Anolis sagrei: one gene and its partner. The protein of the gene in region 2 purifies or fractionates together with the protein of the main gene of each other region. This does not show direct contact. Links are inferred from orthologs where the notes say so. Each region holds a gene or a part of one and is shown on either strand. Other genes may lie near its edges. The genes, in order: ZMYM2 and ARRDC1.

Region 1 (16,279 bases), on a different chromosome or scaffold from region 2:
CTGAGACTCACATTTTGGCCATGATTCACTAGAAAATGCTTGGTAAGATAGAAGACAGTAAGAAAATAGAAAGTTCACTGTTGGATAGACTCAATCAATTAAGCCATTAAAATGTTCTGAAGCAGTATAGTATTAAAATACTAAAAGGCACGTCAAACACCAAAATCCCACTAGTGTGTGTATGCTTCCAAGTCACCTGTGGATTTATCCATAAATTTCATACAACTTTCTTAGGCAAGGATTATTGAGAGGTGGCTTTGCCAATTCCTTCCTCTGAAATACAGCTTTCAGTATTTTATAGTAATTTGCCATCTCGCATCCAAATACTAAACAAAGCTGACCCTACTTAGCTAATCAGACAGGATCTGGTGCCTTTAGGGGGATGTCCCATTTTTATCCCCAAGGATTGTGCAGCACAATAGCTGTACAGCAGAACTAAATACCAATATAATAATATGTGATAAGGCACAAATAAAGCAGAACTGAACCACAGTTATGACAGTATAATGACATCATGTAATAAGGACCACAGTCTTCCTATCTTTTGTCACTTTCTAATAATTAATTTCTTACCTCTTGACCAAAATACTGTGTTAAAATAAGGATCTCTCTGTTTTGAACCATTAATATATTTATTTCACTCTTACACTGTTGCACATAAAACATATACACCCCCACTCTCAAACACCATACGTAGCAACATAGCATAAACAGGATTAATTTTAAAAAGGAGATGATGAAGAGGAAGATAATAAGATCTTGCATAACATTGTTGAACTGTAAAATGGTGATCCCTTTGGGAAAATTGTTAATTTGACATTCTTTCTCAACATTCCAGATCTGAGCTGTGCAAATCATGAGATTATGCATGGTGGGATGTGCTAGATAATTTGGTCTAAATCCAACTAGTTTTTTTTATGTAACAGTGCACATTTAATTTATTTTATTATAATATATTTTATTTACATTTTGATTTATCCCAGATTAAAAACCAAGGTGGCTCACAGATTAAATGAGTTAAAATTTTACTATATAACTTTACAAAACAATTCAAACAGTATAAAATTATTTTAAAAGAATGCAAAATGTAATGACATTTTTTCACTCTGTAGCTATGTCTAAATACTGTTACAATGAAACACAAATGTTGATGAGCTACCACTTGTCAACATCACTCCTTCCTTTGCAACACATTAAAATATTCTTCCTATTCACAAGTGTAACAATGCATCAATTACTGGAGACACAATAACCTGTAAGATTTCAGATCAACCAATGTAATCCTGAATCATGATATAGGATAAGAAACATCAGCTCCCAGAGCTCCAGCACTCTTTGGCAGAGAAGGTTAAAGACCTTGCAAAACTACAACTTCCTTTATTCCATAGTGTTGAGCCATGGCAGTTAAAGTCTACAGTGTAGATGCATTCCCCGTTCTTCTGTCAGCAAGTAAAGACTGGCTGCTTATAAAGATAGGGCTTTCAACAAAATGTCCTACTGTTGTTCTTTGTTGATTAAAAATTATTAAATCAAGACTATAATTTAATTAATGTAAATAATATTTTAACAATAATCTCTGCCTGTTTTGCACATCAATGGGTTCCTACCCAGTTACCATTAATTAATCTAAAAGATCAGGATGAAGGCCAGAATAATAGCAATGTGCTCTGAATAATTTGACATTTTAAGGTTAATATGCTTAGTTTCCTGCAGATTATAGCAATCAATTTCAGCTGTAAATGGATATGAATCAAATCTATGCATAGGTTTGTATTGGTAAAAACTTTTGCTCCCAACCGTCTTGTTTAAAAATGTTTAATCTGTATGCCAGGTATTTGTCATACTTTTGAGTCTTATCATGTCAAGATGTCATGTCTTATCATATGTATTTACTGTATTATTATAAGTGTCTTATTTTAACTTACTACGTGGAGTGTGATCAGGTCCTGTCAGGCCTTGTTGTTCTGTTTCTTATTGTGATATGGCCTAAGGGATAATCAATAACATTACTACTACTACTATAACAGGCTGTGCTTTTTTATTTAATTTTAGTTTGTTAAGTTATAATTCGTATTTCTATGATGAGTTGTATAAAGGATGTTAGTATGGATGTATTGTTGATGTATTCGGGCATTGAATATTTGCCTTTTATGTTTGGAATCCGCCCTGAGTCCCTTTGAGGAAATAATAATAATAATAATAATAATAATAAACTTTATTTATACCCCGCCACCATCTCCCCAAGGGGACTCAAGAGTGGCTTACATGAGGCCAAGCCTAGCGATACATTACAGCAACATAAAATACAAACAACAAAATAACATCACAATAAAATAAATAAACCAATCAAGTAAAATAAACAGTACAAAATAACATAATGGAAAATAAAACACAGTGGGCTGGCCAAATACACGACATAAAATTATAAAACACTGGATGAGATAGCAATGAAAAGGTATATTTGTGAGGGAGGAGCTCATGGGGGATTGGACAGTGGAATTAGACTTTCAATGAGGTGGGGGAAAGTGTAATGTGAGGGAAGCAGTGTAGGTGAAACAACATGACTGGAATATATGGTCACTCTCCAAAGGCACATCTGAAAAGCCAAGTATTTAGATGTTTCTTAAAGGCTGCTAGGGTGGGGGTTTGCCTAATCTCACCAGGTAGCGAGTTCCATAGCTGGGGGGCCACAATGGAGAAGGATCTCTTCCTTGTTCCCACAAGTCGTGCCTGTGATAGAGGAAGAGGCAAAAGGAGGGCCTCCCCTGAGGATTGGAGGGAACGTGCAGGTTTGTGGAGGAAGATGTGGTCACGAAGGTAGGCGGGACCCAAACCATTTAGGGCTTTATAAGTGATAACCTGCACCTTGAATTGGGACAAGGAAATGAACGGCAGCCAATGGAGCTTCTTAAACAGGGGGGTTGACTGCTCCCTATAATTCACCCCAGTTAGTAGTCTGGCTGCCGAACGTTGAACCAATTGAAGTTTCCGGGCCGTCTTCAAGGGAAACCCCAAGTAGAGTGCATTGCAGTAGTCCAGTCTAGAGGTAACTAAGGCGTGGACCACCATGGTAAAGTCAGACCTCATGAGGTATGGTTGCAGCTGGTGCGCAAGTTTTAATGGTGTGAAGGCCCTCCCAGCCATAACCGACACCTGCGCATCAAGTATCAGCACAATCCAGGAGGACCCCCAAGCTGGGGATCTGTGACATGGGTAGTGCAACCTCGTCAAGCACAGGTTGCCACCCATTACCCTCATCAGACATACGACTGACCTGGAGTACCTCTGTCTTGTCGGAATTAATCTTCAGCTTGTTCGCCCTCATCCAGATCATCGTATCCGAGGGGCTTTCTTGGATTCTGATGAAAAAGAGTAGTGGAATTGGGTGTCATCTGCGTAGAGATGGCACTGTACTCCAAAACTCCAGATAACCTCTCCCAGCAGAATATAAATAAAGATAGAGCGGAATACAAATAAAGTTTTTATTATTATTACTTATTATAAGCGAGACTCTACTGTGAATAAAGAAATAATAAATAAAAATGTGTGAAAAAGATCTTGGAGTCCTCGTGGACAACAAGTTAAACATGAGCCAACAATGTGATGTGGCGGCAAAAAAAGCCAATGGGATTTTGGCCTGCATCAATAGGAGCATAGTGTCTAGATCAAGGAAAGTAATGCTACCCCTCTATTCCGCCTTGGTTAGACCATACCTGGAATATTGTGTCCAATTCTGGGTACCACAATTGAAGAGAGATATTGACAAGCTGGAATGTGTCCAGAGGAGGGCGACTAAAATGATAAAGGGTCTGGAGAACAAGCCCTATGAGGAGCGGATTAGGGAACTGGGCATGTTTAGCCTGAAGAAGAGAAGGCTGAGAGGAGATATGATAGCCATGTATAAATATGTGAGAGGAAGCCACAGGGAGGAGGGAGCAAGCTTGTTCTCTGCTTCCTTGGAGACTAGGACGCGGAACAATGGCTTCAAACTACAAGAGAGGAGATTCCATCTGAACATTAGGAAGAACTTCCTGACCGTGAGAGCCGTTCAGCAGTGGAACTCTCTGCCCCGGAGTGTGGTGGAGGCTCCTTCTTTGGAAGCTTTTAAGCAGAGGCTGGATGGCCATTTGTCAGGGGTGATTTGAATGCAATATTCCTGCTTCTTGGCAGGGGGTTGGACTGGATGGCCCATGAGGTCTCTTCCAACTCTTTGATTCTATGATTCTATGATTAGCATTTAATGGCTTGGAAGTGCCTGGGGGAATCTTTCTTTGAGAGGTGATTTGATGTGCCTGATTGTTTACTCTCTGTTGTTTTGTAGAACAGGCCTGGGCAAACTTTGGCCCTCCAGGTGTTTTGGACTTCAACTGGTACAATTCCTTAAGCAACGAAGGTGCAAAAAGGAAAGTGCCAGAGGCTGTTAGGAATTGTGCCAATTGAAGTCCAAAGACCTGGAGGGCCAAAGTTTGCCCAGGCCAGGTGTAGAACCGTGTTTTACTTACTTAGGTGATCCCTCGTTGGACGAGTAAGATGGTCTTCCTTGATGACTATTTTTGTGGGTTTGTAGGTGGCTGTGGAGCCCTATTCTTGACCCGCATCTTCTCCCACAGTGAAGGCATTGGTTTCCAGGTGGAAGGCGGTCTCGGTCGGGGTTGGCTTGACGCGCCTTCCTCTTGGCACGTTTCTCTCTTTCACCCTCCACTCGTGCCTCCTCGAATTCTGCAGCACTGCTGGTCACAGCTGACCTCCAGCTGGAGCGGTCAAGGGCCAGGGCTTTCCAGTTCTCAGTGTCTATGCCAGAGTTTTTAAGGTTGGCTTTGAGGCCATCTTTAAATCTCTTTTCCTGTCCACCAACATTCCGTTTTCCGTTCTTAAGTTCAGAGTAAAGCAACTGCTTTGGGAGACGGTGGTCAGGCATCCGGACAAAGTGGCTGGCCAGAACCATGTAATGCTGTTGGAACTAAAATGATTAAGGGTCTGGAGAACAAGCCCTATGAGGAGCAGCTTAAGGAGCTGGGAATGTTTAGCCCGAAGAAGAGAAGGGCAAAAAGGAAAGTGCCAGAGGCTGTTAGGAATTGTGCCAATTGAAGTCCAAAGATCTGGAGGGCCAAAGTTTGCCCAGGCCAGGTGTAGAACCATGTAACGCAGTTGGAACTAAAATGATTAAGGGTCTGGAGAACAAGCTGGGCCGGCCACGTTGTCCGGATGCCTGACCACCGTCTCCCAAAGCAGCTGCTCTACTCTGAAATTAAGAATGGAAAACGGAATGTTGGTGGACAGGAAAAGAGATTTAAAGATGGCCTCAAAGCCAACCTTAAAAACTCTGGCATAGACACTGAGAACTGGGAAGCCCTGGCCCTTGACCGTTCCAGCTGGAGGTCAGCTGTGACCAGCAGTGCTGCAGAATTCGATGAGGCACGAGTGGAGGGTGAAAGAGAGAAACGTGCCAGGAGGAAGGCGTGTCAAGCCAACCCCAACCGGGACCACCTTCCACCTGGAAACCAATGCCCACACTGCGGAAGAAGATGCAGAGCAAGAATAGGGCTCCACAGCCACATGCGGACCCACAAGGAAATCCATAATGGAAGACCATCTTACTCGTCCAACGAGGGATCTCCTAAGTGAAAGTGAAGGAGAACAAGCCCTATGAGGAGCAGCTTAAGGAGCTGGGCATGTTTAGCCCGAAGAAGAGAAGGGCAAAAAGGAAAGTGACAGAGGCTGTTAGGAATTGTGCCAATTGAAGTCCAAAACACCTGGAGGGCCAAAGTTTGCCCAGGCCAGGTGTAGAACCATGTAATGCAGTTTGAACTGCATGCTAAGGTCAGAGCAGTTTGAACTGCATGATATAGTCCAGACTGCTCGGTGTAGAACCCAGCCTTAGCTTCTCCCTGGGTTTATTTGTCCACCTGGAGGGTAATCTTTTAGCTCTTTCCCCGTAAACACAGAGAGACAGAGAGAGAGCGCCCTCCTATTAAATAGTTTTGGCTTAAACCTGTTGGCTGCCTCCGTTTCAAAAAGTGGCGCTGCTCCAGTCACTTTGGCGTTTTTATTATTATTATCATTATTTTTTTGGTGGCGCATGAGAATTAGCCAGAGCTCCAAAGAGCCAAGTTGTTAAGACTCCTTTGCTTCTCCTCCCGCGCAATTACACACACACACACACACAAAACATAAATAAAGCCTTTCCCTAGGGAGTGTGCAAGCGTGAGAATGGCTGCAAGGTGGAGTGAGGGAAGCGAGGTGGTGTGGAGATATATATATGTGTGTGGTTTTGTTTTTCTTTCCTGCCTCTTTTTTGTTCCCTTTTTTTTGTCACAGCAGGGTCACAACGGGTGGCTCCAACCAAAACACGAGCCATGGATTGGGAAAAAAGGAAGGGAAGGGGGAAAAAAAACTGGGGCGAAGCCAAGCGCGCAATAGGAGGAGAAAGCGCGCATCCTCCATTTTGGTTTGAGGGGAAAGTGGGGAGCTTTGGCTGTGGGTGGTTTCCTTCCCACCGCCTTGGGGCTTCCTTGGAGGTTCCCTCTCCTCCTTCAGGGCTCCCTCCTTGAGGGGAAAAGGGGCTCTCCTTTCAGAGCCCCATCTTGCTCTGAAGGGATCCCCCAGAGAAGCTCCCCATTGCAGCAGCAGCAGCAGCAGACAAAATGGAGGACGCCACCACCATTCAACCACCACCACCACTTCCACCACCAGGAGCCGTGCTGGGCTTCATTGCCTGGGATTGGTCTCCCTTTTGAGGAGATTATTGGAAGTTGAAGAGCATGGGCTCCTCTTATTAGTGTTCATTTTGGGGACATTTGGGAGGGCGTCCCTATTGTTGCCCCTCATGTTGCCCCTCCCCCTCCCCCAGGGCGCCATGTCCTGAGGCACCAATTCCAACCAAACGACCCCATTATGGAAATGGGGGCGCCTCCTCAATGATTGCCTGAGATTGTGGAGGGTAAAATCCATGGGGGGGGGCAGGGAATGGACCACCACTACCACTGCCACCTCTTTTTGTGGCAAATGTGGTTATTATGTGATTTATTACTATTTGGTTACTATTGTGATTATTGCTTCATGGAGGGCCAACAGAGCGCCAACTTCTGCCCCAAAAGCCCTCAGGAAGCAGCGCCCCCTTGAGGGACGCAGAGGCAACTCGGGTTGTCTCTAACCTGAGGGATACCAAAGAAAGGGGCGGGGCTACGAGGCGCGTGATTGGCAGGCGGGGGCGCTCAACCAGCCGCGCGGGATGATGACAGGCAGGCGGTTGCTCCAATAGCTTTCCGGGCGGCAAAGCCCTCCCCCTGAGGGAGCCAATAGGCGCGAGCACGAGGCTGCCTATCCACCCCTCTCTTTCCCTCTCCCTTCCCCCCACCTCCCGAAGGTTGGGTTTGTCCCTCCTTCGCCTCGCCAGCAGCGGCGGCGTTTATCCCGGGACTGGACCGAGTTAGAGTTGAGGCACTGGCGCGGGAAGCCATTAAACGGTGAGAGAGGCAGGAGGAGACACGTTGAGCCCTTCGAGTGGAGAGAGAGAGAGAGGGCGGTTAAAGCAGGGAGGGAGGACTGCTGAGGGGTATTTGGCTTGATCCATTTTAGCACACCGGGAGGGGGGTGCGATTCCTGTCAAGCGCGGCTTTGAAGCCCAGCGGCCTCCCTCCTCGCAGTTTTTTGTCTCTTTTTTGTTTCCGTACTCGCTTGCGTTCCCTTTCCTCTTTTTGCCCTCTCCCTTCCCCCCCCCCCTCCGTATTGTTTGGTTGGGTCCCCATTAATGGCGGCCGACCCGAGGCTGCAGTACCGCTGGCCGACAGCAGGGGGCCAAGCGCGCCGCCCGGGGCAATTGGGAAGGGAGGCCGAAGGGACAGTTGGGCCGGCCCACTTTCCCCAGAGGGGGGGAGGAGGGAGGATTGCATGCGGTGGGGCTGTTTTGTGTGTCAGTGGCGGGGGAAACCCTGGAGGCAGTTCCTCCCTTTCCGTCTTTGGTGGGGTATTGTGTGTGTGCGTGAAGGAGAAACTCCTCCCCTTTGCCCTCTTTCTCCACCTCTATTCCCCCTCCCCCCCCCCTTTATCCCCTTCGCCTCTACCTTCTCTCTGGGGCAAGAGGCGCCCATTCCACTGGAAAACTGTAGGCCTAAGGGAACTGGAGGTAGACATTTGGGACCTCTCTGGGGCCACGCAGCGAGGCAGGAAGGAAGGAAGGGCGTCTCCTGGAGGGGAAGATGAGAAGGCCCACCCACCTACTAATGCCAGCATTTTTACCCCCAACACCACCATCTCTTTATTTGGGGTACAAATAGAGAAGGGGAAGATAAAGGGAGCCCACCAGCCCTATTCTGGCCCCTTTTCTCTTCTTGACTCCAGCATCAATATATCTTTTGAGAGGATTGGGGGCTCTCCCTCAAAGAAGGAAGGGCGTCTTCTGGAGGGACAGATATGGCATGCCCACCAGCACTATTCAGGCCCCTTCTCTCTTCTTGACCCCAACATCAACATATCTTTTGAGAGGAGGGGGGCGTCCTTAGAGGATTGGGGGCTCTCCCTCAAAGAAGGAAGGGCGTCTTCTGGAGGGACAGATATGGCATGCCCACCAGCCCTATTCAGGCCCCTTCTCTCTTCTTGACTCCAACATCAACATATCTTTTGAGAGGAGGGGGGCGTCCTTATAGGATTGGGGGCTCTCTCTTAAAGAAGGAAGGGCGTCTTCTGGAGGGACAGATATGGCATGCCCACCAGCCCTATTCAGACCCCTTCTCTCTTCTTGACCCCAACATCAACATATCTTTTGAGAGGAGGGGGGCGTCCTTAGAGGATTGGGGGCTCTCCCTCAAAGAAGGAAGGGCGTCTTCTGGAGGCATGCCCACCAACTCTATTAATGCCCCCTTTTCTCTTTTTCTCAGGATTATCAACACCTCCTCCTCCTCCTCTCTTTTCCCCAGGCCACTTTGGCGCAGCCTTGGCAAAGCCCAACCTGGAGAAAGGAGCTCTATTGTGAGTGCTATTTATATATGCTTTTTTGCCTGGGGGAGGAGGAGGAGGAGACTTTTTTTTTCTTTTTTGGCATTTGGGAGGAGGGGCTTCCAGGGCAATGGTGGGGTATTGGGTGCAGCAGGGGGAGCATTAGCAGCTGCTTGCTGCCCTGGAGCAAAGCCCTGTAATGGCCGTGAGGAGACTCCTCCTCCTCTCCCTCGGGGTGGGCTCTGCTGCAGACAGCGCTCCTGCCATAACCAACACCCTCCTGCTGCTGCTCCTCCCCGCTTTAACCAGGCTCTTCTCTGAGAAGGATATCTTTCGAGAGCCCTCTAGAGTTTTGGAGCCAACACCAAAGTGACATACTATAGGCAACCGGCAAAAAGGTCACAGAAATAATAAAAAAATTAAATTGTTTATAATAAAGTAAAATCAGTTTTTATAATATAGTATTAAGGCTTATCAATAATAATATTTACTTATTTATTTATATTCCACCCTATCTACCCTAACCATTTAATGAAACCAGTATTGAAGAAAGTGGTTTTGCTGTGCAACCAGTATTGAAGAAATTGGTTTTGCTGTTCAGATGATTACACAGGAAATCTTGGAACTGATTTGGGGGCCAAATGGTGGTGTTCACACAAACCACAGATACTGATGCACACATTAAGGGTTTGCTTTTGTGGGAGTTTGTTGTCTGGCAGCAGCAGCTTGAAACTTGCTTTGAACTGCATTAAATGGTTAGTGTAGAAGGGGCCTAGGTTAAGTTTGTCTGTATTTTCTTTTAATTACAGTATTTCAATATTAATAACAAGTCAATAAAGAGTTTATGATATGTTATGGGATATAGTGTTTGATCTCTGTTGAAGAGTAACTCTCAAGTTCCCAGCAACTACATATATCTGGCATCTTCCTATCCCCATATGTGCAAATACACTGATAGTCCACTGTGTTTAACCAGGTTTCCAATTTTCATTCCCTCACAACTCTCCCAATGGCCTGCAACCTTACTTGACTTTGTGGCTGGGTAGGAGAGACTTAAAATAATCCAATCTTTGGCAAAGTGTGGTTGCTTCTTCTTTTTCTTTCATGGAACTGGATTTGTTGAGGGTTTGGGTGCATCTTCACAGAATTAATACAATTAGACACCACTTTTACTGCCATGGCTTAGTGCTATGAAATCATTGAAGTTGTAGTTTGGTATTTTATCTTATCAGGAGTGAACCAAAGGTACTGTTTTAATGTATTTTTTAAAAAGATACAAAGTTTAAAAACTTGATAATTATATTAATTGTCCTTTGACCAGTAATTCGCCGTTTGGAGTGCCTCTGGTGTCACTGTAAGAAGGTCCTCCATTGTGCAATGTGGCAGGGCTCAGACTGCATTTTAGTAGGAGATCTGTGTTTGCTCTTTTCCATGCTTGCGTGTTGTGGACTCGCTTTTATAACCCCATTTCTTAAGGTTGGCTCTGCATCTCGTGGTGCCAGAGCACAGTCTGTTCAGTGCCTTCCAGGTCGCCCATTTTCTCTTTTGCACAGGAGAGAGTCTCTCATTTGGTATCGGCCATGGGTGGAGGTTTTGAGTTTTAGCCTGCCACTTTTGGAGTCTTGCTTGCTGAGGTGTTCCTGCGAGTATCTCTGTAAATCTTAGGAAGCTCTTTCTTGATTTAAGGCATTGGTATGATGGCTGATATTTGAACAGGGGGTGGGACAGAGATGTGACTACCATAGTCCTTTCATTATTGGTTGCTATTTCCTGGCGGATGTCAAATGGTGCATTACCGGCTAAACAGTATAATATCTTCAGTGGTGTACAGCACAAACACTCCGTGATAATGCGGCATGTCTCATTAAGACCCACATCCACTGTTTTAGCGTGGTGAGGTGTTCCACACTGGGCATGCATACTCCGCAGCAGAGTAGCGTAGCGCAAAGGCAGATGTCTTCACTGTATGTAGTTGTGATCCCCAGGTTTTGCCAGTCAGCTTTTTTCATATTGTTTCTAGCACCCACTTTTTGCTTGATATTCAAACAGTGCTGCTTGTAGGTCAGAGAACGCTCCAGGGTCACTCCCAGGCATTTGGGTGTGCTGCAGTGCTCCAGTGGGATTTTTTCCCAGATAGTCCTCAGAACTCAAGATTCTTGTCTATTCTTAAGATGAAAAGCACATGTCTGTGTTTTAGATGGATTAGGAATCAACTGATTTTCCCTGTAATAGGTACCTAAAGCTTTGGAGAGCTTCTGTTCAACCATATCTCAAAGATCCCTGCTTTAGCGGTGATGGTTTGGTGAGACACCAGAATTCTTTGGCAGAGAATGCTAAATACCTTGTATAACTACCAAGTCCATTATTATGTAATGCTTTTGTTTTTATTATTTGTGTTTTTGGCATCTAACTGTTGCCTATATGTGTAAGCCGCCCTGAATCTCCTACGAGGTTGAGAAAGCTGGGATATAAATACAGTAGATAAAGAATAAAAGTTCAATAGTATTGAGCCATGGAAATTAAAATGGTGTCAAACTGCATGAATTCTAGAGTGCAGAGGTGGTGGGGAAAAATTACTCTTGGACACAATTGGCATTTTCAGGCATTCTCTGGTGCATATCTGCCTTGTCGCTATTTCCATCCCTGAGGTTGGTTGTCACTGTTCTATTTGTGTGTCATGGGAGCAAGAGTTTGCAGGGTGTTGTGGTTGTTTTCTGTTTCAATGTAATTTTTTATCATTTTGAGAAAATGGCAGTTACCTCGTTTTCCTTTAACATCATGGTGAAATGTTTGTGAGTAGCATGTAATTCTGTGTGTACAATGCTCATGGCCTATTACTTGGAAACTGACAGCAATTAATCAATAGTTGCTTGGGATGGATCTCTTAGAATCCACTGGTAATGTTTCCATAGCTGACCTGGAGGAGACAGTCATGATTGGATGATTCAAGATCAGTGTCAGTCTTATTCTTGAGAACTTACATTTTTAGATGGTGTATTGTTTAAAGAGCATGGATTAGGCATTAGTATTTTATAAGGGTTTGGGGAAGAATAGATAATACATTTTGTTTCTCAGGGACAACTATTTTCCCAACCTAAATATAATGTATTAAGTTTACCCGTGTTTATATTATATTTATTTTGTTAGTTAGGCTCACTTTTCCAATCTCTTACACCCTTTCTGAATCTTGATTCTGGAGTATTAGCTGCTCCTCCTAATTCGGTTTTACCTGCAGATTTTATAAGCGTGTCCTCTGTTCCATTATCCACACTTATAAAGCTGTTATTTACCTTGATTAATTCATTGTTGCTCAATATTATCATTCCCTAAATCATTTTAAGTGAATGTCACAAAACTAAGCAAATACAGTAGTAATGAAAAATAGCTCTAAGGGACCATTTGACCACTTTCTTTATGTGTAATGTTTCTAGTATCATAGATAGAAATGGATGATTTGATGAAAGTATTGCTGAATAGTTCAATGTTACATTAAGAACTTTCAAGTTAAGGTTTACAGTGTTTTGAAGTTCATACAAGTATAGGAGATGGTTTGGTCTGCTTTGAAGACTATGACCTGTACTTTATTTAAACCAGGGTATACAGAAACCCAGGGCAGCAAAGGCACATAAATGCACACATCACTTCAATATTCTTAACTGTCCTGTGTTGAAACAAGAAAGATTTGGTTTGGTTTGTCCAGGAGACATCATAAGCATCCACTTCTTAATTATATGGAGGCTTCTACTCTTCTTGAGTGCAACACATTTTTCCCAACAGAAAAATAGGGGCTGGGTGGGTTTTGATGTCTGTGTGGGCCTTATCCACACTCTCAGTTCATGATAACTAGGTAAAATGCCTGCACAAGATTTACTTATAGTTATGATTACCTAGGAAAGCGTTATGTCAAAAACACTTGATAATATTTTGAAGTAAATACACCTAGATGGGAGGATTGTAATATGCTCACTGTTCAAGCCACATTAGAATATGTTTGAGAAGGTAGAATGATTTGAGCAGGGAAAGCTGTGATTCCAGTGATATTTCTAGTATAAGGCCAGTTCATACTTGAAGTTTAAGAGACTTTGGCCCTTGTCTCCTGTGAATTTCCTCCTCAACTTTCCTACATAATCTCTCAGACTGGTGTATCTCTTTGGCTCTGATTTGTAAACGAAGACATTTGTTGATCTCTGTAGCTACATGTGGTTTCTCCTGGGAACCCTTCTTATCACTCAGCTCTTCACTCGTTTCCTTATCTGCTATTGCTACTTCTGTCTCCTCGGACTGGCTTTGAGACCTTACACTTTCCAAGCCTGTTTTCTCACAGAGAAACATCATTTCCCAGACCTAAATTTCTCAGACTTGAGCCCCCATCACTTTTGCCTCAGGAAAGCCCATAATCCTGTCCAAATCATCAGTTAAACCATCAGCCTCTGGCTGATGTACATCAAGAATCAGAAAAGCGAAACCTCTGAGTTTAGGCTAGTTAGAGAGGTTAAAAACAATAATAATAGATGTGATGTGGGTTGGCTTTTTTTAGCAGGAGGAAAAACAAAAAAATGACAGGGCCATTGGTTTGAGATGATAGTGAAATAATGGGACAGAGAAGGGTGAAGTGTTCAATACCTTCTTTACTTTAGTTTTCTTCCAAAAGGAAAACGTGTTACAACTAGTTAAAATAAATAAATGCTCCAGTAAGAGGCCCAGAGCCAGGAATAGGTAAAGAGTAAAGGAATGCTTAGCTACTCTAAATTCAAGTCTTCTAAGTCCATATGAACTGTATCCACGAGTACTAAAGTATCTTGAGGTGTGGTCTAAATAATTTTTTTAATTGTTGCACAACAAAAGAGGTTCTAGGAAATTGACGGAGAACAAAATTTGTCCCCGTCTTCAAATAAGGGACCTCCTGACTAATCAGTTTAACCTTGATAGATCATTAAACAGTCAGTCTGCACGCAGTGCGAAAGGGATGTTCTGGCTATTAAGAGCCAGCATGGGTTTCTCAAAAAGAACTTGTGGCAAACAAGTTATATGTTTGATAGATCAGAAGAGTTATCTGGAGATAGATCTTGATTTCAGTGAAGCTTTTGGCAAGGTCTCCCATGATATTTTTGTAGGCAAGCTCATGAGGTATGGGCTACTCAGTGTTCCGGTTAGCTAGATCTATTATTGGTTAACAAATCAAACCCCAAGATTGCTCGACTATGGTTCTTCATCCTGGAGAGAAGTCAATCTTAGAGATGTTTATAATTGACTTGAATGATGGAATGGAAAACATGTCTATCAGATTTATAAATGCCAGATTTATAAGTTAAAAATGGAGCAAACTTGTTTTTTGCTGTTCAGAGGGCAGAACACAATTCATATTAAAAGAAAAGAGATGCCACCGAAATATTAGTAAAACTTCTTTACTGTAAGCTCTTTGCCAGTGAAATAGATTGCCTCAGACAGGGGTGGACTCTGTCTTTGGAGATTGGATGGGTATTTTTCAGGAGGGCTATGTGGCCTTTGTGGAACTTTTCTAGCTTTTACAATTACATCATTCTGCTTCAGAGTTTAAAAATACGATTCTAGAAGTAACCATGTGAACATAACACTTGTTTCCTTTCATAAGGTACAATATACTCTACAAATTCTGCAGTTTCTCAAGTTGCTCCTGACATGGAAAAAAAAAAACAAAGCAAACTCTACAAATGCTTATGCAGTTCTCCATTTGATAGTCATTGTTACAATAAAAGATAAAATACTGGAGTAACCTTCATATTGAGGATAGAAGCCGTTTGATGTGATATGAGGCACCCACCTCTGTATTCTCTTTATTCTGAGAACAAACTTGTGAGATATAGATGGTTGTTGATGAATAAAAGCCCAATGTCATCCTCTGAGTGGGTATTTGACTCACTAGCTGTCCAAAACTTGCTATCACTAGAAATCAGTTATAATAGCTAAATTGTGAAAATATGTGTCCTATAAACAGCTGTTGTTTCTGTTGGAAGGCTTGCTTTTTTGACTGGATTATTTCCAGAAGTACTATCTAGACTTCAGGTTACAGGGAGGATCTTGTTCCTGTTGTGAAGCTCTTGATATATACAACTCTACCATTTCTTAAACTGTTAAATTGGCTACTTTCTAGAGTCATCAGTTGGTCATTGTGTCAATTTAAAGGTGATCTATCATGTAGAGAGCAAAAACTAGATTTTACTTTTCAATCGGTGAATTGCTCACTGAGTTTGAAAGGTTTACTGACTACAGAATTAAAATATAAGGGAAAGCTATATTATTCTTCCTTTCAAAGTTGTAGCAAGGTTTTGTTGCTTAATTTCAAGCTCAATAATTTCAAGTGCTAGATGTCAACACTTCACATTAGACTTTTTATGACTTATTTACTGCAACGTTTAAGCATGTGTTGTTTAAGATTGATGAGTAAACATGAAGCTAACTGTAAGTATTTTTTACTTCATTTCTTTACTGTCAACCAACTGGAGCCAGGCTCAAAATAGTAGTTCAGGTAAACATTGTGGTTGGATGGGTAAAGCCTACACAAAATGTTTGGTGTACAGCTATAGCATGTATTTTAGTCACCTCCTGCTTGGTAATATCATTCACACCTAACAAACTACTACAGATCAATCTAATACTTTCCAAACCAGAGATGTGTCACAAGCAGAACGCAAAAACTGAAAAAGCATGAAAACATATAATTTAAACTGCTGAAATCATCTACAGAAATATCCTATAGGAGAACTTAGAAAAGTTACTTTTTGGACTGCAACTAACAGATCCACCCCACGAACTTATTTGTTTCAAATATTTATGTCCTGCCCTTTATCTGAAGATTTTAGGAAGGCGTACAATAAAATGAATTTAAAATAAATAAATAATTACAACTGTTTTAAAATCTGCAAAATAGTTCAAATATTTTCTCAATTAAAACATACCATTAAAAACTGGTTAAAACAATTTTGAATAATCAGAAAAGATACGCAGCATTGATAAAATCCATCTCGCCCAAAGGCTTTAATAATATTGAAGAAAGATATTTTAGAAAGTTGTGGTCCAAAAGATACAGCATCTAGAGAAGATTGAAGTGCTCACTGAGGCAGCACATATACTAAAATTGGAATAGTACAGAGAAGACTGAAGAAGAGATGAGAAACTACCTTACAGGATTACCCCTGTATCCATGGGTGATGCTTTCCTGGATTTCACATGGATATGTGAAACCACAGATACCGGTAATAGGAAAACTTCACATGAAGGACTTTTAGCTCGAGAATACCACAGAATCATGGCAGACAATCTAATAAAAGCCTAGGGAAGTTGTGGATAAATGAAACCACAGATACCT
Region 2 (15,997 bases):
TGTCAATGTCTATTTTCCCCAAGCTCCACCACTGTTTACATTTGGGCATATTTAGTATTCATGCCAAGTTTGGTCCAGATCCATCATTGTTTGAGTCTACAGTCCTCTCTGGATGTAGGTGAACTACTAGGTTTTCAAACTGCTAGGTTGGCAGAAGCTGGGGCTGACAGCGGAAGCTCACGCCGCTCCCCAGATTCGAACCTGCAACCTTTTGGTCAACAAGCTCAGCACTTTAACCCACTGCACCACTGGGGGCTCCTAATAGCCATGTATAAATACATGAGAGGAAGTCAAGCTTGTTTTCTGCTCCCCTGGAGACTAGGACGTAAAACAATGGCTTCAAACTACAAGAAAGGAGATTCCACCTGAACATTAGGAAGAACTTCCTGCCTGTGAGAGCCGTTCAGTAGTGGAACTCTCTGCCCCGGAGTGTGGTAGAGACTCCTTCTTTGGAAGCTTTTAAACAGAGGCTGGATGTCCATCTGTCGGGAATGCTTTGAATGCAATTTTCCTGCTTCTTGGCAGAATGGGGTTGGACTGGATGGCCCACGAGGTCTCTTCCAACTCCATGATTCTAATGTTTTTGACTACAACTCCCACCATCCCTGGTGACAGAACCAGACAACCAGGGCTAGTAGGATTTGTAGTCCAGGTTAAGGAAGGTCCTGAAAGATTATCTCAAAGAGAAAAATGTGCTGACAACCAGAACGCCCACACAAGGATGTCTCTGAAACCTTTCCCGACTCTTAGTTTGAAGGACAAAAGGGAAAGGATGCACCAAGATCCCGGCAACCAGAACAATATTCCATGCAATATTCCCCAAGAGATGGCTCTGTTTCGTTGCAAGGAGACCTTGAATCCCTGCCAGAGGAGAGGCTTTGAGCAGAGTTCATTTTACACCTGGATGAAGGTGCTTGCTTGTTCCCACTTCCTTGTTGACATACAGATTCAAAACATTGCTGAGCCACCCTTCAGTTCAGCAATACGAATTTTAGAAACAAGGGGTTGCCTGCTTTCCAGTAGTTCTCAAGTGAAAAGCAAAACACTAAAGCATGGTCAAAGTGGCAAAATATTATAAATATTTATAATATTATATATATTATATTCTGAAATATTATAAACATAAGTTGGGGGTGGCGCAGTGGGCTAAAGCGCTGAGCTGCTGAACTTGCTGATCAAAAGGTCGCAGGTTTGAATCTAGGGAGCAGAGTGAGCTCCCGCTATTAGCCCCAGCTTCTGCCAACCTAGCAGTTCGAAAACATGCAAATGTGACTAGATCAATAGGTACCACTCTGGTGAGAAGGTAACGCCACTCCATGCAGTCATGCTGGCCAAATGACATTGGAGGTGTCTATGGACAATGCCGGCTCTTCGGCTTAGAAATTGAGATGAGCATCAACACTCAGAGTCGGACACGACTGGACTTAATGTCAGGGGAAAATCTTTACCTTTACTTTACACCGAACTATCCCTAAAAGCACAATTCCCTTCTGATCTTGAACATTATGTAGTGTCAGCCCTGGTTAGAACTTTGATGGAAGAAACTGGCATTCTAGAGACTTGGCTGGTGGGAGCCCCAGCACTAATTAATTATGCGATTTCAGCACATTTTATTTGTGTTGTTTTGTTATTATTTATTGGTGTTGCCTTGTTATTGTGTGTATTTTGTTATTATGTACTTTTGTAGTGTTGCTTTTATTGCTCAGTATTAGTTCTGTTGCACTCTGCTTCGAGATGCAAGAAAAAGTGGATTATTATTATTATTATTATTATTATTATTATTATTTTATACATAACAAGATTAGTACACACCATGCTGGCTTTTGTATTTGATCACATGTCAGTCACTTCCCAAGTGTCTAGGACTGGGTGATATATTGGCATATCTGAGTAGGGTGGACTTTTGCAGCTAATAGATGCAATGCTGATTGTTTTTAAGTGCAGGCCAAGGTCTTTAGGTACTGCACCCAGTGTGCCGATCGCCATTATTATTATTATTATTATTATTATTATTATTATTATTATTAGGTTGCTGTGAGTATTCTGATCTGTATGGCCATGTTGCAGAAGCATTCTCTCCTGATGTTTCACCCACATCTATGGTAGGCATCCTCACAGCTTGTGAGGTCTGTTGGAAACTAGGCAAGTGGGGTTTATATATCTGTGGAATAATGTCCAGGGTGGGAGAAAGAACTCTTCTCTGCTTAAGGCAAGTGTGAATGTTGCAATCAGCCACCTTGATTAGCACTGAATGGCCTTGCAGCTTCAAAGCTTGGCTGCTTCCTGCCTGGGGGAATCTTTTGTTGAGAGGGGTTACCTGGCCTTGGTTGTTTCCTGTCTGGAATTTCCCTGTTTTCTGAGTGTTGCTCTTTATTTACCCTCCTGATTTTAGATTTTTTTAATGCTGGGAGGCCGATGTCATTTATTTTTATGGTTCCTAACAAAGGATTCCCCCATGCAGGAAGCAACCAAGCTTTGAAGCTGCAAGACCATTCACTGCTAATCAAGCTGGCCAATGGCAACATTCACACTTGCCTCCAACAGACAAGAGTTCTTTCTCCTACCCTGGACATTATTCTGCAGGGATATAAACCCCACTTGCTTAGTTTCCTCAACCTCTGAGGATGACTGTTCTGGATTTGGGTGAAACGTCAGAAGAGAATGCTTCTGGAACATGGCCAAACAGCCTGGAAAATTCCAGCCATGAAAACCTTCATTAACATATTGCTGTTGTTGTTGTTACTCTATGTAACACCATTTTTGTTGCTGGTTCTATCATAAAAACATGAAAACAAAATAATTAAACTGGTTACTAGTAACTCCAGTTACGAGTCCAGAAGGGGAAGAAGAAAAGCATCTCCTCAGGCACCAGGTTCTCTTTGCCAAAAGGGAGGGAAATATAAATATTGCACCACTGGTCCCAACATTTCCTGGCCAGGAAGGAAAGAAGAAACACAGTCCCCAAGGTGTTTGGAAAATGTGAATACCTCTTTGCCAAGCAAGGAGGGAAAGAAGAATCCATCAAGGCACCTCTTTGCCAAGATGGAAGGAAACCTCTTCTTGCTAACTGGCACCTTTCCCCCAAAATGAAGACAGATGAGCATCTTTGAAATTACATGAAAGGAGATTCCACCTGAACATGAGGAAGAAGTTCCTAACTGTGAGAGTTGTTTAGCAGTGGAACTCTCTGCCTCAGAGAGTGCTGGAGGATCCTCCTTTGGAGGCTTTGAAACAGAGGTTATTATTATTATTATTACCTCCCAACAAAGGATCCCCCCGGGCACGAAGAAGCCAGGGTTTGAAGCTGCAAGGCCATTCAATGCTAATCAAGCTGGCCAATGGCAACATTCACACTTGCCTCCAACAGACAAGAGTTATTACTTTATCCCACCTCAGACATCATTCCATATATATATATACAAGCCCTATGAGGAGCGGCTTAAGGAGTTGGCCATGTTTAGCCTGAAGAAGAGAAGGCTGAGAGGAGATATGATAGCCATGTATAAATATGTGAGAGGAAGCCACAGGGAGGAGGGAGCAAGCTTGTTTTCTGCTTCCTTGGGGACTAGGACGCGGAACAATGGCTTCAAACTACAAGAGAGGAGATTCCATCTGAACATGAGGAAGAACTTCCTGACTGTGAGAGCAGTTCAGCAGTGGAACTCTCTGCCCCGGAGTGTGGTGGAGGCTCCTTCTTTGGAAGCTTTTAAGCAGAGGCTGGATGGCCATCTGTCAGGGGTGATTTGAATGCAATATTCCTGCTTCTTGGCAGGGGGTTGGACTGGATGGCCCATGAGGTCTCTTCCAACTCTTTGATTCTATGATTATATATATATACATATACATATTTATACAGTCCACTTGCCTTGTTTCCAACAGACCTCTACGCAGATCCCCTCACTGATTGACTTTGCATTTGCAAGGCCATTTGATGCTAATCAAGGTGGCTAGTGGCAACATTCACACTTGCCCCCAACGCACAAGAGTTATTTCTTTATCCCACTTTGGACATCATTCCATATATATAAACAGTCCACTTGCCTTGTTTCCAACAGACTCTATGCAGATACCTTCACTGATTGAGTTTGCAGTTGCCAGCAATGGCAACATTCACACTTTCCTCCAACAGACAAGAGTTCCTTCTCCAACCCGGGACATCCTTCCAGAGATACATATATACAGTCCACGTGCCTCGTTTCCAACAGACCTCTATGCAGATCCCCTCACTGATTGACTTTATTTATTTATTTATTTATTTGCAGTATTGGTATACCACTTTTCTCACAATTATACACTACAATTAGACATAAATTAAATTTTAAAAATACAAAAAAAAATACTTTGCATCTGTAAGGCCATTCGATGCTAATCAAGGTGGCCAATGGCAACATTCACGCCTGCCTCCAACAGACTAGAGTTATCGTCGAAGGCTTTCATGGCCGGAATCACTCAGTTCTTGTGGGTTTTTTCGGGCTATATGGCCATGTTCTAGAGGCATTTCTGCCTCTAGAACATGGCCATATAGCCCGAAAAAACCCACAAGAACTGAGACTAGAGTTATTTCTTTATCCCACCTTGGACGTCATTCCATATATATAAACAGTCCACTTACCTTATTTCCAGATTCCCTCACTGGAAATGACTACGCAGATACCCTCACTGATTGACTTTGCTACTGCAAAGCTGTTCAATGCTAATCGAGGTGGCCAATGGCAACATTCACACTTGCCTCCAACCCACAAGAGTTCCTTCTCCCACCCCGGACATAATTCCAGATATACACAGTACACTTGTCTAGTTTCCAACAGAGCTCTATGCAGATACCCTCACTGATTAACTTTTCCACTTCAAGGCTCCTCAATGCTAATCAAGATGCTCAATGGCAACATTCACACTTGCCTCCAACAGACAAGAGTTCCTCCTCCAAACTGGGACATCCTTCCAGATATATACACACACAGTCCATTTGCAACCGACCTCTATGCAGATCCCCTCACTGATTGACTTTATTTACATATTTATAGTATTTGTATACCGCTTTTCTCACAATTATACACTACAATTAGACATAAATTAAAATTTAAAAATACTTTGCATCTGCAAGGCCATTTGATGCTAATCAAGCTGGCCAATGGCAACATTCACACCTGCCACCAACAGACAAGAGTTCCTTCTCCAACCTGGGACATTCTTTCAGAAATACATATATACAGACCACTTGCCTAGTTTCCAACAGACCTCTATGCAAATACCTTCACTGATTGACTTTCCCACTGCAAGGCTACTCAATGCTAATCAAGGTGGCCAATGACATCATTCACACTTGCAGACAAGAGTTCCATCTCCAACCTGGGACATCCTTCCATACAGTCCACTTGCCTTGTTTCCATCAGACTCTAGGCAGATACCTTCACTGATTGACTTTGCAGTTGCCAGACCTTTCAATACTAATCAAGCTGGCCAATAGCAACATTCACATATGCCTCCAACAGACAAGAGTTCCTTCTCCAACCTGGGACATCATTCCAGAGATAGCTATACACCCCACTTGCCTTATTTCCAACCGACCTCTATCCAGATCCCCTCACTGATTGACTTTGCATCTGCAAGGCCATTTGATGCCAATCAAGCTGGCCAATGGCAACATTCACACCTGCTTCCAACACACAAGAGTTCCATCTCCCACCTCGGACATAATTCCAGATATATACAGTACACTTGCCTAGTTTCCAACAGACTTCTATGCAGATACCCTCACTGACTGACTTTACAGCTGCCAGGCCATTCAGTGCTTATCAAGGTGGCCAATGGCAACATTCACACCTGACTCCAACAGACAAGAGTTCCTTCTCCCTTCCCGGACATAATTCCAGATATACACAGTACACTTGCCTCGTTTCCAACAGACCTCTCTGCAGTTACCCTCACCGATTGACTTTGCAGCTGCAAGACTACTGAATGCCAATCAAGGTGGCCGCTGACCACACAGAGAAGCCTCCTCTCAGTGCCATCCTGCCAGAAGAAGGGTCTCTGGGCAGTTCAGGGACAAGCAAAGGAGCATCACACACAGAGAGAGAGAGAGAGCTTCCCTTCGCTCTTTCCCAACCCAGGTTCCTCTTTCTCACCTCGGTACTGGAGGCTGGCTGCCAGGCGGAGGGTGACGGTGCCCACCAGGGGCTCTCCGGGGCTGTAGACCACGCGGCTCTCGCCCAGGCGGATCTCGAAGAGCTGCACCTTCCCCATGGTGGGCTTGGCGAGGGAAAGGGGGGAGCAGGGGGCCGCAGAAGGCCAGGCCTGGCCCTCTCTCTCCTCCTCTTCTCCTGCTGCGCTTTTACGCACCGAGCTTCCCTGCGCTTTTACGCACGGGAGAGGTCTTTCCTTCCTTCCTTCCTGCCCTTTTCCGCACCGCGGGAGGAAGGGGGAAGCTGGGATCCGCGGAAGGCGAGATCTGGCCCCTCAATGTCCTCCTTCCCTGCCTGCCTTTCCCTCTCTTCTCGTCCCAGGAGCAGAGGCTTCCCAGCTCTTCTTGGGGGTCTTCTTCTCTTCCCCTTTTTACGCACCGAGCTGTGTTGCGCTTTTACGCACGGAGGTGTCTTTCCTGCCCTTTTACGCACAGCCTTTCCGGGCCCTTCTACCTGGAAGGAACCTCGCTCAGGCCACGCCCCCTCTCCTCCAAGCCCCGCCCCCTTCGCCCCGCCCCTCAGATTGGTGGCAGCTGAGCTGAGGGAGGGGCCAAGGAGAGCTGGCCAAGTGACGTCAAGACCAATCCAGAGGGATTGTTAGGACTTCGAATCCCATCATCTCCCTCCCTTCTTCAGGGGACAGCAATCATCATTGGGTTGTTGTGACTTTTCCGGGATGTCCGGCCATGTTCCAGAAGCATTCTCTCCTGACATTTCGCCCACATCTACGGCAAAGATACTAAGAAGTTGTGAGGTCTGTTGGAAATTAGGCAAGTGATGTCTAGGGTGGGAGAAAGATTTTTTGTCTGTTGAAGACAAGTTGGGAATGTTGTAGTTGGCCACCTTGATTAGCATTGAATGGCCTTGCAGCTTCAAAGCCTGGCTGCTTCCTGATTGGGGGCCAGCTAACACCTCCCAACCAAGGATTCCCCCAAGCAGAAAGCAGCCAGGCATTGAAGCTGCAAAGCTATTCAATACTAACCAAGGTGGCCCAGTGCAACATTCACACTTGCCTCCAACGACCAAGAGCTCTTTCTCTGTATACACTCTGGGGGACAGATAACACCTCCCAACCAAGGATTCTCCCAGGCAGAAAGCAGCAAGGCTTTGGAGCTGCAAGGCTATTCAATGCTAACCAAGGTGGCCCATGGCAACATCCACTTTTGCCTCCAACAGACAAGAGCTCTTTCTCTTGAATCCCATCATTGCAATGTTGTGAGTTTTCCAGACTGTCTGGCCATGTTCCAGAAGCATTCTCTCCTGACCTTTCACCCACATCTACGGCAGGCATCCTCACAGGTTGTGAGGTCTGTTGGAAACTAGGCAAGTGATGTCCAGTTTGAGAGAAAGAACTCTTATCCATTGGAGACAAGTTGGGAATGTTGTAGTTGGCCGCCTTGATTAGCATCGAATGGCCTTGCAGTTTCAAAGCCTGGCTGCTTCCTGCTTGGGGGCCAGCTAACACCTCCCAACCAAAGATTCCGCCAGGCGGAAAGCAGCCAAGCAGGCATCCTCAGAGGCTGTGAGGCCTGTTGGAAACTAGGCAAGTGATGCCCACAGTGGGAAAAACAACTCCTGTCTGTTGGAGACAAGTTGGGAATATTGCAGTTGGCCACCTTGATTGGCATTAAATGGCCTTGCAGCTTCAAAGCCTGGCTGCTTCCTGCTTGGGGCCCAGCTAACACCTTCCTACAATTGATTCCCCCAGGCAGAAAGCAGCCAGGCTTTGAAGCTGCAAAGCTATTCAATGCTAATCAAGGTGTCCAACTGCAACATTCCCACTTGCCTCCAACAGACAAGAGCTCTTTCTCTCAGATCCCATCATTGCATTGTTGTGAGTTTTCCAGACTGGCCAAGTTCCAGAAGCATTCTCTCCTGACCTTTCACCCGCATCTTTAGCAGGCATTTTAAGCAGAAGCTGGATGGCCATTTGTCAGGGGTGATTTGAATGCAATATTCCTGCTTCTTGGCAGGGGGTTGGACTGGATGGCCCATGAGGTCTCTTCCAACTCTTTGATTCTATGATTCTATCCTCAGAGGTTGTGAGATCTGTTGGAAACTAGGCAAGTGATGCCCAGGTTGAGAGAAAGAACTCTTATCCACTGGAGACAAGTTGGGAATGTTGTAGTTGGCCACCCTGGTTAGCATTGAATGGCCTTGCAACTTCAAAGTCCGTCTGCTTCTTGCTTGGGGGGCAGCTAACACCTCCCAACCAAGGATTCCCCCAAGCAGAAAGTAGCCAGGCTTTGAAGCTGCAAGGCCATTCAATGCTAATCAAGGCGGCCAACTGCAACATTTACACTTGCCTCCAAAAGACTGTGAAGCAAGTGGACTGTATCTCTGGAATGTATCATTCCAGAGATACAGTCCACTTGTCTCACAGTAAACTTGCCTCATTTCCAACAGACCTCTATGCCCTCACAGATTGACTTTGCAGTGTGAATGTTGCAATGGGCCACCTTGGTTAGCATTGAATAGCTTTGCAGTTTCAAAGCCTGGCTGCTTTCTGCCTGGGGGAATCCTTGGTTGGGAGGTGTTAGCTGCCCCCCCAAGCAGGAAGCAGCCAGACTTTGAAGCTGTAAGGCCATTCAATGCCAATCAAGGTGGCCAACTGCAACATTCCCAACTGGTCTCCAACAGACAGGAGTTCTTGCTCCTACCCTGCTTTTTGGCTGGGGGAATCCTTTGTTGGGAGGATTCTCTAACAACTCTGACAACCATCATGTCAGACTACACAGAGAAACCATTGAAACCCACAAGCATGTGGACAATTTCAACAGAATCTGGCTACCAGTATTTTAAAGAAACCCTCCAAAATCAGGACAGTAAATAAAGAACAACTCTAAAAAAAAAACCCAGAGGAATTCCAGACAGGAAACGATTAGGGCCGTCTAACCTCCCAACCAATGATTTCCCCAAGGTAGGAAGCAGCCAGGCTTTGTAGCTGCAAGGCCATTCAGTGCTAATCAAGCTGGTCCATTGTACTATTTACTTTTGACTCAAACATACAAGAGTTCTTTCTCCCACCCTGAACATTATTCCACAGGTACATAAACCTCACTTGCCTAGTTTCCAACAGACCTCACAACCTCTGAGGGTGCCTGCCATAGATGCAGGTGAAACACCAGGAGATAATGCTTCTGGAACATGGCCATAAGCCCGGAAAACAGCAACCCAGTGATTCCGGCCAATTTTTTTTGGTCGTGTCAGGAACGACTTGAGAAACTGCAAGTCGCTTCTGGTGTGAGAGAATTGACCGTCGGCAAGGACATTGCCCAGGGATGCCCAGATGAATTGATGTTTTTATCATCCTTGTGGGAGGCTTCTCTCATGTCCCCGCATGAGGAGCTGGAGCTGATAGAGGGAGCTCATCCGCCTCTCCCCGGATTCGAACCTGCGACCTGTCGGTCTTCAGTCCTGCCGGCACAGGGGTTTAACCCACTGTGCCACCGGGGGCTCCTGATTCCGGCGATTCCGGCCATGAAAGTCTTTGACAACACAAATCATCATCATCAATATTTATTTATTTATCATGTCAGGAGCAAACCAAACAGTTGTATTGCATTTTTTAACAAACAAACAAACAAACAAACAAAACAAAACACAAAGTTTGCAAGCTTGGTAGTTGATTAGATGTCCTTTGACCAGTATCTGGCCACTTGGAGTGCCTCTGGTGTTACTATAAGAAGGTCCTCCATTGTGCATGTAGCAAGGCTCAGGTTGCATTGCATCATCATCATCATCATCATCATCATCATCATCATCAGTGAGATGAGTATAGTAAACCAAGTCTGTGGTGGGTATGATTAGCACCTCTAGAGTATCGGAGGACAACTCCCTACATCTAAAGCTGGGGATGATGGGTATAGTAGGTCAAGGTCTGTAGTGGGCATGATCCGCACCTTCAGAGTGTTGACAACAACTCCCAGCATCCACAGACAGCGATGTATACCAGTTAGGGTGTGGGAGTATGACACTGAAGACCAGGGTTCAAATCCCAGGTTGGCTATGGAGAACTTAGCAAACCACATTCTCTCAGCCTCAGAGGAAGGCAAGTGCAAGTCCCATCGAATCCCTTTGTTTTAGGGTTCAATGACTTGAAGGCACACAACAACAATGTAGCCACTAAACAAGGCACCATGAATACTTAGTAGTTAATAATGCGTAACGGTACATTACATATTCATAATTGTTATGAATGCCTAACTGTTATGAATATATAACTGTCAATAAGTGTAAAATAGGTTAACATATTCCTAACTGCCCAACAGGTTACTGTTTTATTGTTTTAATGCTTGTTGACAGTTCAACAGTGACAAAAGCAAGATACTCCACTTAGGCAGAAGAAACGAAATGCAAAGATACAGAATGGGGGACAATGCCTGGCTCGAGAGCAGTACGTGTGAAAAAGATCTTGGAGTCCTCGTGGACAACAAGTTAAACATGAGCCAACAATGTGATGTGGCGGCAAAAAAAGCCAATGGGATTTTGGCCTGCATCAATAGGAGCCTAGTGTCTAGAACTAGGGAAGTAATGCTACCCATGCTCTATTCTGCTTTGGTTAGACCACACCTGGAATATTGTGTCCAATTCTGGGCACCACAATTCAAGAGAGATATTGACAAGCTGGAATGTGTCCAGAGGAGGGCGACTCAAATGATCAAGGGTGTGGAGAACAAGCCCTATGAGGAGCGGCTTAAGGAGCTGGGCATGTTTAGCCTGAAGAAGAGAAGACTGAGAGGAGATATAATAGCCATGTATAAATATGTGAGAGGAAGCCACAGGGAGGAGGGAACAAGCTTGTGTTCTGCTTCCTTGGAGACTAGGACACGAAACAATGGCTTCAAACTACAAGAGAGGAGATTCCATCTGAACATGAGGAAGAACTTCCTGACTGTGAGAGCCGTTCAGCAGTGGAACTCTCTGCCCCGGAGTGTGGTGGAGGCTCCTTCTTTGGAAGCTTTTAAACAGAGGCTGGATGGCCATCTGTCAGGGGTGATTTGAATGCAATATTCCTGCTTCTTGGCAGAATGGGGTTGGACTGGATGGCCCATGAGGTCTCTTTGATTCGATGATTCTATGATATATTGCTTTAATTATGATTTATGTTTAATTGTGGTTTTACTATTGTAATTGTTTGTATTGGCATCGTATTGGTGCCAAATGTAAGGCATTGAATTTTGCCATTATTTATGTGTAAACCACTTTGAGTCTCCCCAGGGGTGAGAAAGGCGGTATATAAATACTGTAAATAAATAAAAATATAATATAATATAATATAATATAATATAATATAATATAATAATATCTACACAAGGGTTCCCTAAGACCTGAAAAAATATTATTTCTAGGGTTCCTCCAGGTCATAAATTAATAATAATAATAATATAATGTCTACACAAGGGTTCCCTAAGACCTGAAAAAATATTGTTTCTAGGGTTCCTCCATTTCATAAATTAATAATAATAATAATAATAATAATAATGTCTACACAAGGGTTCCCTAAGACCTGAAAAATAATTGCTTCTAGGGTTCCTCCCGGTCATAAATTAATAATAATAATAATAATAATAATAATAATAATAATATAATGTCTACACAAGGGTTCCCTAAGACCTGAAAAAATATTGTTTCTAGGGTTCCTCCAGGTCATAAAATAATAATAATAATAATAATAATAATAATAATAATAATAATAATAATATAATGTCTACACAAGGGTTCCCTAAGACCTGAAAAAATATTATTTCTAGGGTTCCTCCAGGTAATAAATTAATAATAATAATAATAATAATAATAATAATAATAATATCTACACAAGGGTTCCCTAAGACCTGAAAAATTATTATTTCTAGGGTTCCTCCAGGTCATAATGGTTGAGAGAGGTTGGTTTAGCACCTTGGAAGGTCTTTATGTAGCCTTGCATCCAGGGCATAATGGTCCCACAAAAGAGTAGCAACGTAGCTTGATCCACTTGGCACAAATTGGTTTTACAAATTACATAATGGCATAAGGGTAAATCAAGGCAGCCGCTTCAAGGCTCATGGGTTCAGCTGTGGTCATCTGAAAGCTAGAGTAACTTGTTCTGTAGTGACAGAAGAGAGAGGAACTATGGTAAAAATGCTCTCCTGGCATGCCAGTATCCACAAGACCGTGAGCTGGGACTCTAGAATTGGTGACAGATCATGTCAGCACTAAACCTGAGTCAATCACAGAGCCTGTTGGATAAGTTTTCTCTTGTAAATAGAAGAATGCCTCTTCCAAGATGTCTACTGTTGCACTCCAGGCCTGGAAACACCTATGACCACCACACCACAAAAGAGTCCAGAAATACAACCAATCAACTGTATTACATTTCTAATAGAACAAAACAAAACAAACAAACAGACAGACAGACAGGCAAAATACAAAATTTGCAAGCTTGGTAGTTGATTAAATGTCCTTTGACCAGTATCTGGCCACTTGGAGTGCCTCTGGTGTTGCCGCAAGAAGGTCCTCCATTGTGCATGTAGCAAGGCTCAGGGTGCATTGCAGCAAGTGGTCAGTGGTTTGCTCTTCTCCGCACTCGCATGTTGTAGATTCCACTTTGCAGCCCCATTTCTTGAGGTTGGCTCTGCATCTCGTGGTGCCAGAGCGCAGTCTGTTCAGTGCCTTGCAAGTTGCCCACTCTTCTGTGTGCCCAGGGGGAAGTCTCTCATTTGGTATCAGCCATTGGTTGAGGTTCTGTTTGAGCCTGCCACTTTTGGACTCTTACTTGGTGAGGTGTTCCAGCGAGTGTCTCTGTAGATCTTAGAAAACTATGTCTAGATTTAAGTCATTGACATGCTGGCTGATACCCAAACAGGGGATGAGCTGAGATGTCTCTGCCTTGGTCCTTTCACTATTGGCTGCTACTTCCCGGCGGATGTCAGGTGGTGCAATACCGGCTAAGCAGTGTAATTTCTCCAGTGGTGTAGGGCGCAGACACCCCGTGATAATGCAGCATGTCTCATTAAGCGCCACATCTACTGTTTTAGTGTGGTGAGATGTGTTCCACACTGGGCATGCGTACTCAGCAGCAGAGTAGCATAGCGCAAGGGCAGATGTCTTCACTGTGTCTGGTTGTGATCCCCAGGTTGTGCCAGTCAGCTTTCATCAGATATTATTTCTAGCACCCACTTGTATTTATGATACAACCATATGAAAAAACAGGAATAAGAAAAAAAAAGATATATACTGTAATTCAAAAAAAGTTCACCAACAAGTGATAACCAAACAATAATCCAATTCTCTCATAAAGTTCCAGAGGTGACAAAATCCAGGAACAGCCAGAAATCACAGTTACAGCATAAGCCCCCAAGCAAGAAGGTACAACTAGTAAAAACTTGAACAGGAGTACGTGGACAGGAACATGGAAAACTTCCAGGATATTAAAATCCAAAACCAAGGCTTGACTTCAACCAAGAACAAGATAACTCAGGCTTAGCTTCTCACTCTAACGCAGCGTTGCCTGAACTGCCTTTAAGACAAACAACTTGTTATTTAATAGACACTCATGAAAGCATTACGTCTCCCGTGAATTTTCTCTCCAACTTTCCCACATAATCTTTCAGCCTGGTGTAATCTATTTTGGGCTCTAATTTGTAAACAAAGACTTACTTTGATCTCTGTAGCTACAGGTAGTTTCCCCTGGGAACCCTCCTTATAGCTCAGCTCTTCACTCAATTCCTTATTGACTGTTACTACTTCTGTGTTGCAATCCAGAGCAGGGAAAGAGGCCCTAAGATAACTATCCACCACACTTGGCTGTGAAAAACAATCCTTTTTTATTGAAGAAAAATGGTTACAAAATAAAGGAAAAATGCAAGTCAAAAGCCACAGCAAAATCAGCAAACATGAATTTAAATGGACAAAGCAAAACCAAAAGCCTCACTGTGAAATACTGGAACCTGTTAGCAATCCACTAACCGTACTTGATATCCTAGAAATCTTCCCAAACTATGGCCAGGGAACCGGGAGAACTGCCAAGGTCTTCATCAATTCTGAAACGATGCCTGAACTGAGACGGTCAGCCCGGCGTAAGGCAATTAAAATTCAAGAATTGGTTCCGTGAACCGGCCTTCTTTTTTGAAGCCAATGTTTTTAATTCTTGAATTCGGGAGGATCGACGCAAACTGAGTGATTTACTTCTGTCTTCCCAAATTTGGCCCCTTCTGTCGTCATTACAGTTAACAGGTGCAGAAGGGAGGGAAAGTTCAAGGTCTCCCTCTGAAACATTCTCATGAACACTGGTACTTTCATTTTCCAAATCTACAGAAGTTCCTTCCTCACTAATTTCAGGAACATTGGCGTTTTCCAAACCTACAGCAGTTTCTTCCTCACTAATTTCAGGAGCATTGGCATCAAAAGGTACATTTCCATTAGCATCAGTAAATATACTTTCATTAGCATCAGGAGGAACAAACAGAGAATCAGGTTCAAGTTCAAACTCAGGCTGAATCCCAACATTCTGGCTCCTTGGACTGACCTGGTGGCCCTGCACTTTGCAAGCCAGTTTTCTCACAGAGAGAACCATCATTTCCCAACCATGAATTTCCCAGACTTGAGGGAGCCATCACTTTGTGCCACAGGAAAGCCCACAATCCTTTCTAAATCATCACTTAAACCATCAGTCTCCGGCTGATCTACAACATCTGCTGTGACACATGGATGTAATGTACATCCATGTGTCACCTGAGAAGAAGCATTCCCCTTTCCACCACATACAGAAGGAGACTTCTATCTTATGCATAGAAAGGGAATAGCTCTTCCAGAATGATACCCAGTTTGGCACCTAACTTGGAAGGGGTCTTCCAAGATTACCATCAAATCGTCTGCGAATGCCTTTGTCTTATAACTTTGATCTCATATGTGTAGTCCTTTAATGTCTTCATTTTTAAAAAATTGAGAGGATAAACAGTGGTGGGGAATGTGGGCAGCTTTATTTATTTATTTATTTACTGTATTTATATACCTCCTTTCTCAGCTCGTAGGTGACTCAAGGTGGTTAACAGGGTAAAATTCAATGCTTACAATATCATAAATACAATTAAAAACATAATCTATAATAAAAAACTAAATAAAATATAAATTCATTCTATCTCCTTGTTAAAAACGTTGTCCAGTCTCATTGTCATCTTTCCATTTTCCTATGTCAGTTACTCTGCATTTGCAAACGCATGTTCAAAAAGCCATGTCTTGACTTTTTTTCCACAATGTTAAAAGGGAGGTGGCCGATCTAATATCTATCGGAAGACCATTCCATAGCCTAGGAGCCACCGCCAAGAAGGCTCTGTCTCTCGTCTCTGCCAAATGTACTTGTGACGAGGGCAGTAACGAGAGCAGGGCCTCCCCAGTTGATCTTAAGATTCTAGATGGCTCAAAGGGGGAGATGCGTTTGGACATGTAAGTTGGGTCAGAACCGTTTAGGGCTTTATTGTTGTGACTCAGCTTGACTCTGAGTCTGAATCTGAGCTGTTTGGGCCTTCTGAGTCTGACTTTGGGCCTTCTGAGCCTGATTTCCTGCAGGATGACGAGGAGGCTGATGGGTTACAGATTCCTGTACATGTTTCAGATGGGGCTGATAGTGTGGCTGCTGAAGGAGAAACAATAAGTCAGTTCCCCGGGGAAAAGAATGTTCCTGCATTTAGAGAGACTGATAGCGAGAGTGAAATCCCACACAGCCAGGTGGAGGATCCGTCCCAGCTGGACCCAGATAAGGGATTGCATAGCCTTGCAGTTAATTAATTAATGAGCAGACAAGATCGTTTGCAGTTAAGGCTTCGGAGAAGCACTCG

Evidence for each region.
Region 1: the proteins of ARRDC1 (region 2) and ZMYM2 purify together in Homo sapiens (affinity purification with mass spectrometry; 3 studies listed by BioGRID and IntAct, counting the BioPlex papers as one, with this or other methods). This does not show direct contact. The link is inferred for Anolis sagrei from reciprocal best matches to the Homo sapiens genes ARRDC1 and ZMYM2.

Annotation. Positions count from the first base shown.
Region 1 is NC_090023.1:27,917,371-27,933,649, forward strand, and holds the start of ZMYM2 (zinc finger MYM-type protein 2), read left to right. Parts: upstream 1-7,316; 5' UTR 7,317-7,466; intron 7,467-8,876; 5' UTR 8,877-8,967; intron 8,968-16,279. UniProt on the Homo sapiens protein: Involved in the negative regulation of transcription.
Region 2 is NC_090031.1:9,260,656-9,276,652, reverse strand, and holds the start of ARRDC1 (arrestin domain-containing protein 1), read right to left. Parts: upstream 6,668-15,997; 5' UTR 6,244-6,667; coding exon 6,126-6,243; intron 1-6,125. UniProt on the Homo sapiens protein: Functions as an adapter recruiting ubiquitin-protein ligases to their specific substrates. Through an ubiquitination-dependent mechanism plays for instance a role in the incorporation of SLC11A2 into extracellular vesicles.